4 linked regions of the Drosophila melanogaster genome follow. The protein of the gene in region 4 interacts with the protein of the main gene of each other region in a biochemical or structural test. Each region holds a gene or a part of one and is shown on either strand. Other genes may lie near its edges. The genes, in order: cact, dl, Dredd and Rel.

The links.
Region 1: the proteins of Rel (region 4) and cact form a complex in vitro, tested with the Drosophila melanogaster proteins (one study listed by BioGRID).
Region 2: the proteins of Rel (region 4) and dl form a complex in vitro, tested with the Drosophila melanogaster proteins (one study listed by BioGRID).
Region 3: of the proteins of Rel (region 4) and Dredd, one has a biochemical effect on the other in vitro, tested with the Drosophila melanogaster proteins (2 studies listed by BioGRID).

Annotation. Positions count from the first base shown.
Region 1 is NT_033779.5:16,323,194-16,327,774, forward strand, and holds the start of cact (cactus), read right to left. Parts: upstream 3,015-4,581; 5' UTR 2,828-3,014; intron 2,433-2,827; exon of another isoform or gene 2,301-2,432; intron 2,228-2,300; exon of another isoform or gene 1,862-2,227; 5' UTR 1,835-1,861; coding exon 1,140-1,834; intron 325-1,139; coding exon 147-324; intron 1-146. Other genes in the region: CG4278 (uncharacterized protein), read left to right, coding at 3,964-4,581. UniProt on the Drosophila melanogaster protein: Involved in the formation of the dorsoventral pattern. It inhibits nuclear translocation of the dorsal morphogen in the dorsal region of the embryo. Acts as a negative regulator of the NF-kappa-B (rel) signaling pathway.
Region 2 is NT_033779.5:17,447,358-17,452,298, forward strand, and holds the start of dl (dorsal), read right to left. Parts: upstream 3,008-4,941; 5' UTR 2,519-3,007; intron 2,012-2,518; 5' UTR 1,939-2,011; intron 1,154-1,938; exon of another isoform or gene 921-1,153; intron 1-920. UniProt on the Drosophila melanogaster protein: Embryonic developmental transcription factor. The lateral or ventral identity of a cell depends upon the concentration of this protein in its nucleus during the blastoderm stage.
Region 3 is NC_004354.4:633,110-637,165, forward strand, and holds Dredd (death related ced-3/Nedd2-like caspase), read right to left. Parts: upstream 2,437-4,056; 5' UTR 2,375-2,436; coding exon 2,285-2,374; intron 2,200-2,284; exon of another isoform or gene 2,181-2,199; coding exon 1,437-2,180; coding exon of another isoform or gene 1,416-1,436; exon of another isoform or gene 1,379-1,415; coding exon 1,016-1,378; intron 948-1,015; coding exon 793-947; intron 730-792; coding exon 597-729; 3' UTR 513-596; downstream 1-512. Other genes in the region: Mybbp1A (MYB binding protein 1a), read left to right, coding at 1-359. UniProt on the Drosophila melanogaster protein: Effector of the programmed cell death (PCD) activators rpr, grim and hid. May play an apoptotic role in the germline as well as soma. Fadd interacts with Dredd to promote cleavage of Dredd and is necessary and sufficient for enhancing Dredd-induced apoptosis.
Region 4 is NT_033777.3:9,043,645-9,049,745, forward strand, and holds Rel (relish), read right to left. Parts: upstream 4,334-6,101; 5' UTR 3,792-4,333; coding exon 2,880-3,791; intron 2,584-2,879; coding exon 580-2,583; 3' UTR 539-579; downstream 1-538. UniProt on the Drosophila melanogaster protein: Transcription factor that plays a key role in the humoral immune response as part of the peptidoglycan recognition protein (IMD) signaling pathway.

The sequences.
Region 1 (4,581 bases), on a different chromosome or scaffold from region 4:
CTTTTGTTACAAATATAAATACTTAAATTAGCTTTTGTTAGAAAATCAAGATGATATGACATTACATTCGTCAATAGGGGATTAAGCTAGATTTTACAAATATGCAAATATCTAAATCTTCTTATTCGATCTTTGTTGAATATTACCTCAGCTCCGGCGAGTAAAAGTATCCTCATGATGTTCGGCTGGGCAGTAAGAGCGGCCAGATGAAGGGGTGTCTGGGCCACATCGTTCTGGATGTTGAGCAGGCACGGATGAGGAGCCATGCGAATCAGGGCGGCCACCACGTCCACTGATCCCGAAATACAGGCCAGGTGCAAAGGTCTGAAATGAGAGAGAGAGAGCAAAAAAAACAACATGAATTTGTGGGTTTCTTTTACCTGGCGATCGAACACCCGCACTTTCTTTCCTTCCTGTACACTTGTCGCCGTTCATGTGGCGGCGTAAAAACCCAAGTAAGTTAAGTAGAGGTAAAGTAATGTGAAGAAAGAAGAGGTGCCCCGAAAAACCTGTTCCCGTACCTGCCCACATACCAGGAAAACCCCAAAGCCTGACTAAAACACATGTGTCAGTCGCGTTTCTCGCCTCAGACAATCGTCTTTGAGTGATTCACGAAACTCTCCCCTTAGCTCGCTTGGTGGTCATCAGTGCAACGCGGCGTTGTCTTTGTTATTTTGGGAAATTTTAGGATTCTCATCGGAAATACGGCACGTATAAGTTCATAGAAATTCGGAAATGATTCAAAGACTGTGCTTATAAATCTTTAATCGTGAATTGTCAATGAGTATGTTAAATTGATTTTTAAGAGCATGAAGACCTAAATTCTAATAAAGATTTTTTTTTGGCGATTGTGACAGTCTAAATATAATCAATCGTTTCCAATTTCAAAAAATACCGTCCAATTGTATAAAATATTTAAAATATAAAGTTCTTATGATTGCTAGTCTAAGAATAAGCATGGGAAAGTTTTTAAAGTGACCTAGAGATAAGGCGCTAAAATGTTTAAATCATACTTGGGAATTTCCCCACATTAAAAATACACATTCGAAGTTATCTATAAATGTGGTTTGCACATATATAAATAATTTGAAAGTCTAGAATAAAGTGACATTTCCTGAGATTCTATAATGTTTACTTACGTGTCGCCGTCGTCGTTTTGTTGATAGAACTGCTCCCAGGCGTTCATGATATTAATGCTGCTGGGCGGAGCGGATGATGTTGCTCCCGATCCCGAAGGATTCGCGTTCGCCGTGCTGGCTGTGGAGGATTGAACCTTGCTGCGACCGGTGATTTGGGTGCTGCTGCTCTGGCCGAGATTGTTAAGCTGTTCGCCGCGACTGACCAAATGGCTTTCGACGGTCCATTGTGGGATGCCTGTGTCCGCGCTGTGTTTGAGTCGCATTGAATCGGCGGTGGCAGTGGTGGTGTCCTGGTGCTCCTCCTCTTTCTCCTGCTCCTCCTGATCCTCTTCTTCGTCGATAATACCGGAATCGAGGACAACGGGCTGTTCCTTTTGGGGTGCCGACTCCTGCTGATCCTTATCCTGTTCCTCGCTATCGGGGACTATCTCCTCGCTGAAGATCTGCGAGGATTGCGGGCCGGAGATGAAGCCCGAATCACTGGTTTCGTTTGGCACGGCAAATTCCTTTTGCTTGTTAATGGCGGCCGTTTGATCTTGTGTTTTGCCGCCAATTTTACCGCTAGTGGCTAGTGAGGACGAGGGGTTAGCCGCGTTTGAGGGGGCGCGCTGCTCAACACTGGCAGCGCTGCAGCTGCAGTCACTTGTTGCTGTTGCCTTTGTTGCTGCCTCCGCTGCTTTTGTTGGGCTCGGCATTTTCGTGCTTTTCCTCTCTCAGTTGGGCTAAAATATATGTATATATGTTATATATATACTCCTGTCGTTTTGAACTTTGCTTTTGAGCCCAGTCTCTCAAACACACACACATACACACGCACAGTAAGCGCTCACCTCGGTGGTGCGAGTGAAACAAACATATAGGCTCCAGCGAACAAGTGAAAACGCAATAATTTTTGTAGATTAAAGGCAATTTATGGACTTATGTACAAGTGTAGCCGCAGAAAAATAAAAATTACGGTTTCACACTGGTTGAAAATTTTAGATTTTTCCATTTGCCAATGTCTTATTTGCCTCTTCACGGTTGTTTCACCCGCACACACCCACAATCACACTGAGGTAGATTTTTTATCTCCCTTTTCACACAGCTTCCTTTTCGCTTTTTATTTTCTGCACATGTTCTGGGTTTAAACCCCAGCACTATTTTCTATGGATTTCTCACTACCTTGCTGGTTAATTGTCTTGCGAAGCTGTCTTTAAAACGCGTATTTATGGTTTAAATGTTTGTAATCTGCAATTCGCATAGTACCCGGACGCACGTCTGCTTTCTTTCACGTTTCGATAGCGAATGAAATTGAGGGAGCGCGCTGATATGTATATATTTATATGGCAGTCTATACTATAAAGCCCCGTTTGCACTAAGAGTTATCACGAAATGAAGAGTCTCGATTTTAAATTTTCTTTACTTAGAAAACTGTTAATTGAAAAAAATCTATTTTTTCATATTTGCCCAAAAAAAATAAAATTCTAGACTTGAAAAGACCGAAGTGAAAACGTTTGCCTTAATATATCGACGATGGAGTGTGTAATCGGGGCTTAAATCAGTTTTACATGTGTGCGAGGGAGACCATAGGGTTGCCAGATAGTAGGGAGAGCGCCAAGTTAAAATCTCCCAACAACAAAATGAGCAGCTAAATGGTCAGCTGCAACAAAAGCAACCACAGCAGCGATGCGTTTATTTATACTTCTTACTCTCTGATTGTGTGATTGTTTAGTTCCTCGAGCGAAGCCACTTGATGTTGATGCTCGGCGTCCTACGGTTGAAATGCGTATGACGGCGAGGCGGACAAATATCTGGGAAATCACCCGCTGACCGAGAACGGAAATGAAATGCAGGATTCTTTCTTCGGTTTTTCACAGGTCAGCTTCGATTGAAACCTCGACCAATTCTGAATTTCATGGGATATTCTGAGCGACCGATTTGTCATACACTCTCCTTCTGGGATTTTTTAACACTCAATCACATTTTATCGCCAATTCATGAAATATTATATATACGATTATTTTGGTTTTTACAAGGTTGTATTGATTAAAAAATTATCTGAATCCAAGAAATTTAGAGGGGCTTTACAAGATTATCAGATTCTTACCATAAAACCTGTGTTTACGGTCACAAGTAGTTTCGAAAGTTTTTGCTCGCTTTTTTAATTTAAAATTTAAAATTCCGCCTCTCGTAGTTGTAAAGTTATTTATTATAACAAATAGGTTATTAAAAAATCGGACTTGTTTCCTAAAATTTTGATTAAATTGCTGGGAATTTGTAAATTACTCTTCAGTTTTAGGGGTTTGGTCATTTCCTTGTCGGGTTTTGCTTTTTGCTTTTGTATGACTTAATTAAATTATTCTTTAAAATTTAAATTCTTCGGCTTCCGATTGAATTTCTTGAATTATTATTTATCAGGCGTTCGTTTTTCTATTAAAAACAAGTGTTTGGTGCCAATCTGATAAATTTATTAAGGTATATAAACTTTTTAAATATTTTGTTAATTTCTAATTATTTGTTTGCTATAACATAAACTTTTATCGTTTTATTAAAACTGTTTTGCTATTCTCGTTATTATAAAATCCAAATATTCATTAAATGTTTTTCTAACAAAATTACGCAACAAAAATGTGACCTGCTAATAAAATTATAGTAGTGTTTTTTAATGTTTATTAATATTAACCAATTACTTTATCGCCCAATTTAAAAATTGCGGGTGATAACAGATGATTTTAAGAGCAGGTAAAACAACAAAAATTAAGTTGGCAGCACTTACCGGCCAATAAGTCAATTGCACAAAATCTTAAACGCAGGACCAGAAATATTTTGCAAAGGACGTCAAGGAATGCTGAGAAGGATGAACACTTTTAGTGGTCAAAAGCTGGCGGCTGTGGTCAAGGAGCTGGAGAACTTTGCTCCGACTTCTTGGGCAGAGAAGTGGGACAATGTGGGACTCCTGATCGAACCGCACCGCGAAAAACAAATCAAGAAAATACTATTAACTAACGATTTAACCGAGCCCGTAGTGAAAGAAGCGCTAGAGAAGGAGGCGGAGCTCATAATCAGCTATCATCCGCCAATTTTCAAGCCCCTGACCAGGATTACGCAGTCACATTGGAAGGAGCGCGTGGTGGCAGCATGCTTGGCCAACGATATAGCCTTGTACTCGCCCCACACGGCGTGGGATAAGAAGAGTGGTGGCGTCAACGACTGGCTATCTAAGGCAGTGAATATCATCAGCATCCGCCCTCTGGAACCGGAGTTGGGTGCTCCTCCGGGTACCGGATCCGGTAGATATATAGAAACCAAAATGGAGCTTTCCCAGGTGGTGGAGTCTCTGCAAAAGCGCATTAGAAACAGCGTGCACGTTGCTCTAGCTGTGGGCCACACCCCCAAGACACTCATCCAATCCGTCGGCATTTGTGCCGGCTCTGGAGCATCTCTGCTGAAGGGTATCCAAGCG
Region 2 (4,941 bases), on a different chromosome or scaffold from region 4:
AATAACGTTCTACTCGTTCAACGATAACTACTTTTGGCGAAAAATAAAAAAAAAAGGTAAGTAAACAAAATAAAATGAACATTTCGTTTCGATCATTTAACATGCTAATTTTATGCAATTTCCAATAGCAAAGACACACAGAAAAAAGTTCTTTTGGCGCCAGCACCACAAATTAAGATTAAGATCAACATCAAAGCATCAGAAGCAGCCAAAAATTCCTCAGTGAAACGGGTTCCGCAAAAAAAAAAAAAACAAGAACTCCAGACAGACAAATGTTTTTTAACGATCGTTGGCGTCAAGCAATTTACAGCTCAAATAAAAATAAATAACCGATATGCTGACAAATCGATGGAACTAGTTGCCAAAAGCTATGTTTTGTATCGTATGAATACAAGTCCATTATCCTTATTTTCCACACCAAACAATGTTTGTTAAATTAGCCGATCAGGGATTATTGTGCACATGTGACTTCCGGCAAAAATGCAGATACATATCTTATCCGTATCTCCAATTATAACGGCCACGATCTTTCTTATCGAGTGGTTTAAATGATATTCGCCTAAAATAGAATCCCTATTGATTGATGATTTGCATAGCGGAGGGCCTTACCCACAGCCAGATCGTGTATCAATCATGACTCGGATTTAGCATACGGGGAAACTACCAGTAGATATAACCAATATTATCTATTGACTTGGCCTTAGATCTCTGTTAGCACACAAATCTCTACTCGAGCTTTGTAAATCGCCGATGACTTGCTGGAAACGAGTTGAGCGATTTTAGCGCTTTGATTTTCTTTGGTCCCGGAGACGAGAGTCTGATGTTATGAGTCAGCACACGGTTTGCATTTAACTTGGTTGCACTTTTCGAGTTTACACCGTATTAGCAGCTAAAAGCATTTCTTCATTCTTCATAATTACCTGCGAATCAAACCAAGAACCAGTGAACACTCATGACGAATTCGGTTTCACTTTTTGCTTTTATTTGGGCCACAAAACGCACACTAACCGCAGTTTGTTCTTTCAAAATGGTACTTTTCAAATTATTACTTAAAAATAATATCGAACCGTTAGGGAATTTTAAAAATATTTAATAAAAATAAAAGAATGTTAGCGCAAACACGACCGCAGGCGCATCGAGTCGATCTTAGAATGAAACAATTGAAAACCTCTCCGGCGTATTTGAGTGGCAGCAAAAAATAAATAAATACAAGGGGCAAAAGCTTTTCCACGAGCCCCACCCCCTCTGGGCCCCACGGCCCCCCTCGCCCACCCACGTGCCCGTAAGAAACTTTCATTTATGGCGACGTCGAAAAGCCACTGCGACTGCGCTGCCATGTACACAGGTGTTTCGGTTGTATTATTTAAGTTTATCGTTTGCATTCACCGTAGATTATTTAATACGCAGGTGGATAATTGCCACCCAAAAAACACAACAACAACAACTGCGGTTACACTACAAAGGATTGAATACGTTCTAATAGTTTTTTTTTAACATCTTAACTATTATTTGTCATGCAGAAATTGTGAGCTATTACAAATCTTAGCATCCAGGAATTTTAAACATTGTCAAAATGTTAAAACTATTTAGGATGAAAAATATTAATATGCGAGAAAAGTGACCAGTCTTGGTTTATCAAACCTTAAAAGTGTGAATAATGGTTGATAAATCACGATGTTGTTGCTGTAAACATTGTTCCGAAACGATAAGGCGTCCAATGACTCAATAAGGTTATATTTTTAATATGTTTAATGCAAGATGCGTTTCTTTGTAATGACATTTTGCGTCTTTGGAAGCAATAGTTGTGTACATATTTATTAAAATATCAAGACCCTTCTCGCAAAACGCAGCCATTAGGATTTTCCACCGCACTTTATTAATCCGTGCAATCAATGTTCAGAATCAATAAATTAAGCTAGGCTCTATAGGGGGACTCACCTAAGTCAAGGAGTGATCTGAAATCTCGCTTATATGCATTGATATCACTGGGTTTGCTAAGTAAATCGGACACCTGAAATTCAACGCGAACCAATTAGTACACTTTTATGTACATTATTTGTTAAGTTTCTTATTGTGTTAATTGGAAAATTAGTCCGTTGCACAGCGAGCTAAATAAGCCATTTATTTATAGTTGAGAAATATGGCGCTTTTTTCATGTTAATGTTAACACATACACAAGCACGCACGGCAGGAACCGGTTTATTTATTATTTTTTATATATAAATAATTTATTCTTCCCTCCCTTTCTCACTCACTCTCTCTCTCTCTCTCTTTCTGATTCTTCTTATTTTATTCTTTTTTAACTTTTGCGCGCGCACAAAGCGGGTGCGATAATATCGATAATAACGACAAAAACAACGGATGGGGGAGAACAGTTCGAACAGAAACTAATGAAAAGTTAAGAAATCGAAGTCCGAAGAAAGAGAGAGTGGGCAAAGAGCGCGAGAGAGCGCGTGACGTCGATTTTTTCTAGGGAATTCCGGGCTTTATGCTTATGCGATCATCGACGTACGACTACCTTTTGTTTTTGTTTTTCGATTTATTCGATTTATAATTTAGGGTAATTTGTTATCGCGCTCTGCCCTCCATTTTCTTTGGTTATTCTTGCGATGTTTGTGGTTAAAGTGTCGATGTGCCGTGTAATCTAATCGGTAAACGTTCAGTTTTAATAGAAATTATCAATACGTGCGCCGAGTTTTTTATTTTTGTTTTTTCCTCCGTTATATTGGTGGGTCTCTTTTTTTTGTCACTCGTAATACGAAAAAGCAAGTGAAACTTGCTTAGAGCTCAATTGAATTTATGCGTTTTTATGCAGCTCTTTTACTTTTCGTTTTATTTTTATCTACTGGTATTTCAACCTGCCTTCGAGCTCCAGAAGAGCGAAAGAGAGCGGAAGCTTAAAGCACAGCGAAAAAGGTAAATAAGGCACAATTTGGAGGTGGAGATAAAATACCCGTAACACACGCACTACCAACCGATCTCGACGCCCGCGATTTGAACACTAACTGCCCACCAAGAAGAAACAGGCGAGCCAAACTTTCAATACCGTATGCGCCACTGAAAAATACCGCAAAACTTGCAGATCGCGAAGCTTTCAACGGAGTTAAGTAGTCGGCCCCAAGCTCTGCTCTTTGCAGTCTCGACTTAAGCTCAGAAGAGAGACAATCCGAAGAGCCTAGCTTGGCGAAGAGTGCGAGATCAGCATGTGCTGAGTCACGTACGATTGAAGTTTTCCACTTGCGACTTATAGCTTACAGATGTCCACATCTTCCACAAATCCGAGTTTCGAGGAATACGCGATGATTGCATAAAGGCGAAACAATATATACATACATATAATATAAATGTTTTTATCTGACTGATACCGATTAGTAGGAATGCAGGCCAGTTGTTTCTTTCAAAAGCTTTTAAAATGTGTCACCTTTTAAATCTATAACACGTATTATATTGAAGGAATACCTAATTAATTGAAAATGCATATCTTTTTATTAGGAGCATCCCAAAGGAATCGGAAAATATAAATATTTTGTTTTTCTTAAATATTGAGAATTCAACTGTATGGTAACCAATCATCAAGAATTCGATTTTCAATGTGAGATTCGTTTAAATAGCCGAATATTCCAACTATATATGCATATTTACGAAAAGTAAAATATAAATGGAAAAAATAACTTCCGTCATTTATCTCAGTGTCTTTCACATGTGACTCATCTCCACGAGCGACTGCCTCCGAAAAGCTTTTTCAGCTTTTATGAATGAAACAGCACGGTGAGCACTAACTATCTGTGTGTGTGGCTGCGAGCTATCCATTTAAGACCCCACTCCCACCCATGCGGTTGGGGGGTCTGAATCAGCGTACGATTCCTGGAAAAAGGATAATATCCTGCGCCGGCATTTGTTGTGGCATTAATTTCCACTGCGGCAGAGTCTCAATGCCGTGACTCACTTGCTTCGTGCTCAGCATTCCGGAGCAGCTTTCACTTTCCGGGCGGAGGACCTCTGACATTCAAGACGGCTTGTTACGCGGAATTTGATAATATTGCTGATTCACCTTCTGGGGAAATGGGGGTCAGTACAGTTGATAATTGAATACATCGCTTAAAAAGTGGTCGCACGTTAGATAAGGATTTTTATGTTTTGGGTTTTTCAGCTAATTAAACCAAATTATTAAATATGAACGATGAATAGAAAATATAATTGTCACATTATTTGGAAAACGAAATATTATCAGTTTGAAATACATGCGAAAGAACCAGGTAGTATTTTTATAATTTCATGACAAAATTACAAATAAGTACTAAATGTTCCTATTTTATTACTGTGAAAAATTTATAAGTAAATAAGAATAAAAATAATATTAATTAAAGTTGGATGGTCGGTGACACAAAATCCACATGCTTAAGTTCTTCCCAATACTACGTACATATGCATAAAAAAGGACTTTCCGCCATTATCGTAAATCGTTATCAAAACCACACTGGCACGAAGGTCATGCCACCTGGTAAACATACATACATACATAAGTGCACGTGAGCTAAGCGCAAATAAATAGGAATTATGTCAAATGTTAGTATTGAAATTCCACATCAATTGCCATCGCCGCCCGTGGAATTGGAGTGGGGGAATTGCGGGACTAAGTCAACTCGCAATGTCTTGATGGCACGAACGTAGAACAACAACCCGGTTAATGGAGTCCAGACATCGATCAAACAATGGTGAATGGAGAAGCTCCCACTCCCACAAGGCCGGCAACCAATTGCAGCGGGTTTTCCACGAAAATCACGCGATATTCGTCCAGTCCCGCGAGGTAATTTTTAATGGATCCTGCCCCCTTATAAGCTGACACGTGCTGGGGCAGTCATTTTCATGTACATACACATATGTACATTTGCACCCCGTGTATACGACATTATTGATTTTTTCCGGTTGTCGGACTTTCGC
Region 3 (4,056 bases), on a different chromosome or scaffold from region 4:
TCCTGGCCTCTCACTTGGACGTACAGAAAACACGCAGTTTTCGGCGGGCACAGATACTGAAGCTGCTCAGCGAGCAAGGTCGCCGGCTCGAAGTCGCTTTCAAGGACAACAACTCGTCTTCCAAGAAATTTGAGAAGCAGATAGCCAGATATGTAAATCAGCTAGAAACGAAGGCTAGCAGTTCCAAGGAACTCAATCTGCTGCTTAAGATCCTCGCCCAAGGAGGCGAGAAGTGGCAGAAACTGCGTGAACAAATTCAGCTCGTCGCCAAGGATCTTCAACCCAACAAGAAGGTGGCGAAGCAGAAGAAGCAGGCAGCCGCCAAACCTATGGTCGTGGAAGATGAAGAGTCCACATAACGTAAAAGAAGGAAACACCCCAATAAGAAACCTTACAATTAGATGTATAAATATCTTGCATAATATAGGATACTATTAATTTTTTTGTTCTTTAAAAAATTCTGACGAAAAGTACTAAATTAGTATTGAAGTCATTGAAAAAATAGCAAAAGTACACTAAACTTTATAAAAATGTATTTTTACCTTTATAGAGCAATTTGAGTGGACGTACAACTGCGCTAACGTTAAAAACCAAAATCACAGACGAGGTGGAAAGTACACGTGCTGGCGAAATGTGCTTTTAACATTCGGCACCATGGACTCGTCATTACTGCCTCGCTTTTTAGACACTTCGTTGGTGACAATCGTCAGGATATCGGCGATGTGTTCACTAAAGTAACAAAGAACAACTTATGCATTAATTCGGGGCTAGCTTGCTTTGGCAGCTTTTTACCTGGCGGAACGGCGATCGATGGCATCGCACAGGCTCCCGATAAACCAGCTACCTGTTTGGGTGTGGCGCAGAGCAGCATATCCATTTACCGTGGACATGGCCCGCAGCATGTCGATGTGCTGGTCCGGCGACACGGTGGTCACGTCTATCCTAAACTGAAAGAGGAATACGAAAATGTATAGGCTTTCCCATTCGACGACTTCATGCTTATAAATCTCCTTACGAGCTCATTTGGCTTCTTTTTATGGACAAGCTTCTCCTGGCAGGCTTGTATGATTAGCAACTTCGGTTTGTAGTACAGGGTGTCGTAGCTGCAGAGCAAGTCCTCGATATCCGTGATCTTCATGGCGATGCTGTTGGATGCGTAGACGGCCTCCTCGAAGCCGTGGCTCAGGATGAAGACCACTAGGGAATCGCGCACGAGCGATCTATCGCACGCACTGCGAATGCGCTCTATGATGCCCATGTGATCCACGTTGTCGTACGCCTCCACATTGTATCCCATCGAGGAAAACACCTCGATTAGTCGTTCTTTATCCACATCCGTGCCATCCCGTCTACGCAGTGGGTCGGGCGACAGAAATTTCTGTGGAGAAGGGCAATGTTGTACTTCTTTTTGTTACTCAATATTGCAGAGATGAAACCATATTATCCCTGCTAACATTCCGGTGAAACTTCTGCTGGTTGATAATCAAGGCGATTCCTGCGTTCTCCCGGGTCAACTTAAGAGCATCTATTTGTGTGGAACAGTACGACTGCTGGTTATCCGATTCAATCTCTTGCTTGACTGCCATCGCAGCAGTGCCAGCCGCATCTGGCTCCGGAGCGTTACTAATGATGGTGTCTTTGAGCAAATTTGCTTGCGCCTGCAGACCGTTGGACTTCAAATGGCCGACCAGCAGCTGAACATCGCTGCCTGCGGCATTTATGTCCCCTAACTTTATGCTCCTTCTGGTCAGCCAGTCCAGCAAAAAGATCTCCAGGTACGCGGGATCGTAGAAGCGAAGTGGATCTCCTGCCTGCTGGCTCTCCACCTTTTCGCGAACATCTAGGAGCAAGCGGCCACTCTGCACCAACGACAACTCCTCACACATCCTGTAGAGGCTCTTCAACAGAGGATGGACATGCAGCGTGATCCCAGCGATATGCGGCAAGTAGTGCATTCGCAGCTCCTGCCAGCAGAAACCCAGTCTCCGGAGCACCTTGCGGGCCCCAATAATGCACAGGGCCTCCACGAGATGTCTTCTCCAGGTTTCTGGCCGGGACTTGGCGAACTTTATGAGTAGATCACTTTGCGGGAAGTCTGATCGTGTCATGGCCAAAAGTTTCTGCAGAATGTAGGTGGCATCCGAGTGGTCGTCGCCATAAAGCAGAAAGCAGAGGCCCACCTAGAAGAAAACGAAGGTTCTACTGTTTAATTAACACTTTGGTCTAGCGGATGTGTAAAACATTTGAGTCATATTCGAAAAGTCCTCCCAGGGAGGTGCCATACCTTTTGGGCAAAGTTCATGTCACGTTCCACGTAGATCAGATCGTTCTGATCGATGGTGTCTAGATGAATCAACAGGTTTGATCCGGCCATGGCGATCGGGAATATACAAAAATGTTTCACTTTAGGAAATGGCCGATAAATTGCACTCGCTGACATCCGATAGCCGTGGCCTGAAGAGCTTCCACCGATCGATATCGATAAATGGATATGTTTTCTGCAATAGCGAAAGATCGGGGTGCTACCTATTAATTATACTTAAGAAACAGATGATGTAGTTTTTTGATATAGAAGTTTAACAACCGGTTCAACAATCGGTTAATATTTAAAAATGTCGCAGCCAGCGAGCCTTTAGCTTTAAAAGTAAGCTTGCGTTCACGGTTTTTGGGGAAATACCAAATATACTAGGTAAAAACATCGATTAACTAATATCATCCAACACGACGATATGTTCTTTGCGAAAAATATCGATGTACTGGTATTTTTATGTTTCCACACCTCTAGTTCGTTTAAGTCGATCTGTTGAACTGTTAACAACACAACTCCTGAATATTATGTTTTGGACGAAAAGTTTTATTAATTTAATGTTTTTGTATATTGTATTCTGTCCATGAGCGTAACAGAGACAGACAGAGAGAAAGGGACAGATACTGAGATACGGGGCCCTCAGGCAGAGAAAGAGGGCGAAAGCAAGCTACAAGCGGGTGCGAGCGAGAGCGCGCGCTTGCCTCACGCACATATATATAAATCTGTACATACATATAGTATCAGAAGAAAAAACTAAAGCCGCTATTCGATTTACGAAAACTGGCGAAAAATTCGACGATTTGTCTCGTACCTATCTATGTACCTCACAACCACTTCGTCATCAAATACGTATAAGTCAGATGTATGTCAAACATATATATACATATGCATGTATATACACATCTATGTGAGGCCACTGCTATATCCCATACATGTATGCCTCTATATATATGTATATATTTATCCACCTACTGTACCACTTCCACATTATGTAAGCAGCGACGCAAACAAAACACTAAAGCAGAAAATCCGAAAAGCAAAATGCGAAATGCAAAACAACGAACCAACAAAATCCCATCTATAAACCGAAAACCGAACAGCAATGTTATAACAAATACCGAAAAGTTGTTAATGTTCCACAAAAAAGCATAAAGCAGTCACGCTAAGAGAGTAAGATCGAACAAATGAAATGTTTGTATGGCATAAGTAGTTCCCAGATTTTTGTATGTACTTCAATGCATATGCATGTGTGCGTATGCATGTATGTATGTATGTTTCTCGGGGCCATGTCTCCCCACGCCCACGTACGTGGGTGCTAGAAAGGGACAGATGGTGCAAATTTTTTAAATTGCATACACTTGATTTTGGAACGCCAGCCAAACAAAAAGATAAATTGCGTGCTTTTCTTTTGCTGTTCGTATGTACGTACATATGCAAGTGGAAACTGCGCAGCAGGGAAGCCACACGCATGAACGCCTTCCATTTACAGAGCATTCAAACAAATCGTACCGAAAACCAAACAAAAACTTTCACCTCAAGTGTAACAATTATATTCAAATTCGCTTTGAAGTCGCTGTAAAATATATGTATGTATGTATAAACAAAGACAAAAACATTTTGCCTCGCAGTCGACACACACACGCGCACTCGCACTGCACGCCTCGGCTGTGTGTGTGTATGCCCTGCTTAGATCATGAGTGTGCGAGCGAGTCGACATGCTTGGCAATCGCGAGTCAGAACTAAACACG
Region 4 (6,101 bases):
ATGCGATCATAATATTATTTAATTGAATGAGATTACACTGTACTATTCCTTAAAACATTATTTAGTTGCGATATTCTTGAAAAAATATAGCAGGAAAGGTCATAAACCGGGAATGATAAGGGCTGTCGGTAAATCCCCGCCTGTCACTGCAGTTACGCAACAGTAATTCCCCCACAACACACACTTAGGCGCATAAGTACATGTATGATTCACCCACTTGTTTACCAAGCGGCGTGCGCGAGCGGCAATGAAAAATTAGTGATTCCCCATTCTTAGAATGTACTTTTTAATGCCGAGCTATCGATGGATCCCCTTTTGCTAGTGATCTCATGCAGGGCGCCGATGGTAATTGTTTGAGGGAACAAGTTTAGATTGCTTATAGAACTATTCTAAAGAATAGATTCCATGGAATAATAAAGGAAACTAAATAAATGCTAATAAAGGAAAATAAATTAATGCTCTGATATTTAAAAATAAAGCTTGCTATCCCAGGCATCCTAGTTTCGCGTATTTTTCATTCCACAAGAGAATAGTATTTGTAAAACTAAGGTACTTTATTGATCAACATTCAATACATAATCAAGTTGGGTTAACCAGTAGGGCGTAAGCCTGTGGATCCACTGCCTGCAGGGCACGAGCAAATGTGGAAAACTCTACAGAGGCTCCTTTTCTTTTCACGTGATCCAACAGATCCTCCGCGCCCAGCCATATAAAGGCGAACTGCTTCAGATGCGTCTGGCGGGCTAGTTGCATCCATTTCCGATCTTGGGGATCGGACCCATGTCCCAAAGGCTGATTCAGCAGCGAACAGAGCCGGTCGTAAATGAATTTGTTTTTGAGCAGCAACTGCAATTTGTTGTTGTCCATTTCGGTGTCTCTACTGGATTCATCTTTCTGTCTTCTTGGACCACTACTTAGGTCCAACTCCACGGAATCCTCGTCCTTTGTTTCGATGTCCATCTCCTCGGACTTGATCTCCAGCTGACCAGCATCGCTACTTTCGTCCGACGATGAATCGATCTCCTCCTTGACCTTACATGGAATCCAGGTCATGGCCAGTTCTCCCTTCTCCGGATACACATTCTTCAGCAGCTGGACCACCCGGTCATTTGCCTTGCGTTCGGCCAATTCCAAGGGAGTATGGCCGGCTGCATTTTGTGCCTGCAGGATGTCGGTAAGGTTTTCATTTTGGGCATCCAGAATGAGCACCAATAGCTCCACACTTTGCTCCAGAACTGCCATGTGGAGTGCATTATTACCATCCATTGTGTTGGCCACGCTAATCGAGGTCCGATCATAGCTGATCAGTTTCTTGGCCACATCGTACTTGTTCTGTCGAATGGCCATGTGCAAAGGCGTCAGACCATCGTCGTTCGTTAGCGAGAGGTCCAATTGTACGGTTGGCACTCCATTAAGGAAGCTTTCCACGCAGCTTAAGTGCTCCTCCTTGACGGCCACATGCAGTGGGGTATTTCCGGCATTATTCTTCAGATTTGGATTGCATCCCATACCCAGCAAAGGTCGTATGTAGTGCGCTCGGTCTTGCTGGCACGCCACATGCAGGGCACTATCACCGTCCGCATTCAAAGTGCTATTGACCACATCTTTCAGATTGAAGTAGTTCATCACCTGTATCGTCTGGATGGCCAGCTTCAGTTTGTCCTTTTTGTGGCTGATCACTTCGTGCAGGAGCGTGTCTCTATTGTAGTTATTCAGAGCATGCTCGATAAACCACTTCTCCACTTTGTGGTGCGAGATTTTTATTGGCGATATGCGGTCCTGTTTGTAAATTTCGAATAAGTCATCCAAGCATTTAATTGTACGATTTCGATGCGATGGCACTTCCGCCCGGTTATGACCATCGTGCTGCAACTCTCCCATGTCTAACTGGCAGATCTTCTCGAGATCAGAAGAGTTGTGCTCGATAAGTTTGCGGAAATCTTCGGAAGCAATAAATTCATTTAGATGCTTTTCGCGTCCGAACTCCTCACTTATAGTCTGATCATGCTGTGAAAGGTTTGGCAAGCCATTTGGTGGCTGCGCCAAGCCCAGCGTTTTGGGCAGATCCAGCGAGTTATTAGAGCTTTCTGTTCCCGAACTGCTGCTATTGGCAGAGGACCCGGTTCGTCGGCGTTTCCTCGACACAATTACGCTCCGTGGCTTGTAGCGGAAGGGCAGCGCCGGGAATGAGCGCTCATCGTCGGAGGGACGAATGAGCTCGATGTACACGTTGACCTCGCGGTCCACGTCCTTATCTTTGTACGGAGGCGTCTGGCACACAATGGCATATTGGTGGTGTACATCCGATTCGCGGAACTTTGCGTATGCCTCCCACACGGTTTCCCCGTCCTCATCCTCCTCGAAGAACCTCACTTTAATGTTCTTCTTGCTGACCTTTTCCACCAGTAGAATAAGCTCATCGTTGCCCATCACCCCGCCAGTGGGTTTGCTCAGGCGGACGATGCGAAGCTCTCCAGTTTGTGCCGACTTGCGGTTATTGATTGCATTGCTGTATACAGGCGGTGCAAGTGGAACCCATGCGCCGTTGTCCTCAATTTTAAAGGCCTCAAAGCAGAGCCGCACCTAAAGTTGGTGTTACTTTTTTAGTGAGTTCTTTGTTGCTTTTCAGTAAGTTAATTGCTTCGATGTTATATTGCTCAGTTATTTTAGCAGAGAAATTTATATAATTCGAGCTAAACGAGTAGATACTTTACAGACTGCTTAAATAAAAAGATTAAAAGGTAGCAAATGCAACCTATAATTAATTGACTAAAGCATTCTAAAGTGAGCAATTAAACGTGTGAATAATAAATGCAAACGTGCATATTCACCTCATCGAAGCAAGCAACTCGATATTGTTTACGCGCTGGTTTACCCACCTGGTTCAAGTTCATGTCCTTGGCCTCACGCTCTGTCTCCTGATGCAGTTCCTGTAGCTGTTTGTGGGACAACTCGCGGCGGTTCATCTGAAAGACCAGGCGATCCTGCTTCTTCTTGCACAGTTCCTCGAATATGTACTTCTTGGCGGTGTGTATGATGCCCATGTTGATAAATTGCGCCACATAGCCGCGCTCCTTGGACACGTGCAAATCATGCGGATCGCACACATCCCGATCGTCCTTGCGCACGACCAGCTGATGGGAATGTGGGCTGTCCAAGTTAGTTTGGAACAAACTGCACCGGATGACGGCGGGTCCATCGTAGTTGCACAGTGTAACCTCCGGGAAGGTTTTGGGCGTCCGCTTCGAATTGGCGCCATTTAGCGATCCATGTGTTCCATGCATCTCGCTCTTGTACCGAAAGCGGAACTTCTCCACCGGTTGCTCAACGATCCGCAGCTGCGGCACGTGTTTGATATCGCCGTCAGATGCCAGGCCATTTTGATGGTATCCAAAGTTTTGGGACGGTGGCACAGTGGCCGGAGCGGGCACAAAGTACTGGTGATCCATGTACATGTTGCCAAAACTGGTGACATTAGCAACGCCGAAACTAACGCCAGTGGAGTTTATTAAATTGGTAGCACCCAATTGGCAAATTCCGCCGTTGTTCAACAGCTGATTCTGGTATGGTGAGTTTGCCATTGGCGGCTGGTGTGGTGAATTGCCGCCGGGCAAATTAAGATTGGCGAAGTCCGTTTGCAGTTCCATGGTTTTCGGGGAGTGGGCTGGTGAAAAGGATCGGTTGGTGGAGTTGGGTGATGTACTGCTGCTATAGCCACTGGTGCTGGATGCATCGTTCATAAACATCACATTTTTCCCATTGTCCAGGTCGTAGTACTGATTCATGTTCATAGTCCGTATCAATCCAATATTTCTGATCAATAGCGTCTTAACAACTCAAAAGTGATCCGCTGCCTTCGCCGATCGGAACGCTAATGATCGAAACGAGCTCCGCCGATGGCTGACCATTCGTTTTAGGTACTTCCCCGATGTTCGGCGGATGGGAAATTATCTGCGGCGGCCACGTCGAGATGACTCACGGGTTTTTCTGGCGCACCACTCAGTGTGATTTTTTTGATCGGCTATACTATAAGCATGTACGGAATTCTGGATTCGCGGTTGTTGTTTACAGAGCGAAATCACACTGTTTATATGTATTCCACCCAACTAATACATATATGCAAATTTATGGAAAAACGACGCAGCGAATCGGGGAACTTTAGTGCGCCACTGCTGGAACGAAAATGAACGAAGCACTGCGCGAACACAAGTAGTATCGCTCACGAGTTGCGAGCAAAACGCTCGCTGCCCTGATAACAGGTTTAAGCTATTTGCGCCGAGCTTTCGGGTCAGCTTTTCACGGAAACTACGGTTCAAATTCATTTATTTGAATACCTGATTTCAACACACCGCGCACACTAAAATAAAAACAAGGCAGAGCTGCCACCGGCAGATAAAACGAGTTGGGTGGCAACGCCCCAATCAGATGTTCTACAAATCTAGGGATGGAAGCGTACGCGATTGTTTGTTCCCATTATTCTTGATTAATTTTTATAAATATAATTTAACCTATTTCGACAAAAAGATATAAAGGTATATAATACAAAATATTAATATAAATAATACAACACTTATATAAATATAAAGATATAAGGAATTTTAATACAAATTTATAATGAGAACCGGCGTAACAACTTATAACTGTGTTATAAAATAATAATAATTATGCAATGCAAGTACCGAATATTAGTATTATTAATAATATATTTTTACGCTTTCCATTGGCTTTTCCCTTAATTCACTTTCGTCACGCACTCATCTCTAGCGCACGCTTTGTTTTTCTTCGTATGATATTACGTTTTATTTCGGACCCGATTCACTTTCTTATGAGCATACACACCTGAAGTTAGACTTTCCGGCGTAATTCCGGGAAGCCAAGACCGAAATGGATCCTATAGAACGTCGCAACATGGTTGGAAAATTTAAAACACCGGAATGTTCTTTTATCCTAAGACACTTGTGCTAAATGATAAAAAAAAACTACATAAGCATGCGCCACTGAACTAATTTGCAATTCAGTCGGTTTCCACTCCCACTGGACCCGCGCACACACACACGCACACTCACGCAGAAACAGCTGATCTGTTGCCAGGCTGCACTTAGAGTATATATGTATGTATTTACGATCCCTTTGCACTTTTTGATGTGTTAATCAATCTTCTCACTTCGCCGTTCCTCTCTTACTCTTGTTACCATGCCAAGGTGTGTGGGTGTGTGTGTGTAAATGCTTTTACACCTTATCAGTTGACGATGAGTTTGTTTATATTGATAATCAATTAGCAGGAAAAACATAAACAAATCGGGGTCTTGACTTTGCAACCACTAGTCTGCGTCTAGACTAGAGTTATTAATAGGCAGGCTACAAAATTAGCTCTTTATGCGGACAAAGGAAAATTCGTTTTCTTGGCTTGATAAAAGCAAACGTGTCTTAAGAACGCCTATTCAAATTTCTTTGAAGGTCAATTATGTATTTTTTATGGATTTTTGTTAGCCAATTTTCACTAGCAGCATACCTTATTGTGACTTCTTTTGTTGGCTTTTGCGAAATTTTCCTGGTGGAAAATTCGAACTGCACTGATTGTCGGATACCGATGGACTGTATAGAACGAAACAGATCACTGAATGAGCCTCGCACGTGTTTGTATATTTTGGATAAAAGCTTTTCGGTTCAGCGCACTAAATATGCGTGTGCGAGCGAGCGCGACTTAAAAGCTTTAAACACTTGTCGATAAAAGTTTTGAACTGTGTGCATATAAATATGGCTTAAAACGGAACAAATACATATGTGCATATATGGATTTTCGATTTTGAAACAACGCGGAAAATAGCTAAACACATATTGAACATATTTTATTTTCTCAACATGAAAATTTTTAAAAGTTCGCCTTGTGTGCACAAATATTTATTTAGGAAATTCTTAAAGACGTGGAGAACAACTTTTGTTGCTTTTATTACCAGTTACATGATTACGATTTTGGTTGGGAATATTTGCTGTTCTAAAATTTCCGACACGAGTTATTTTTCAATAGTTTGTTTTTCTTCGACGCGGCGGATGACGAAATCTGATTTCCGATTACTGCACTCGGAGATTAAGTTGGATTC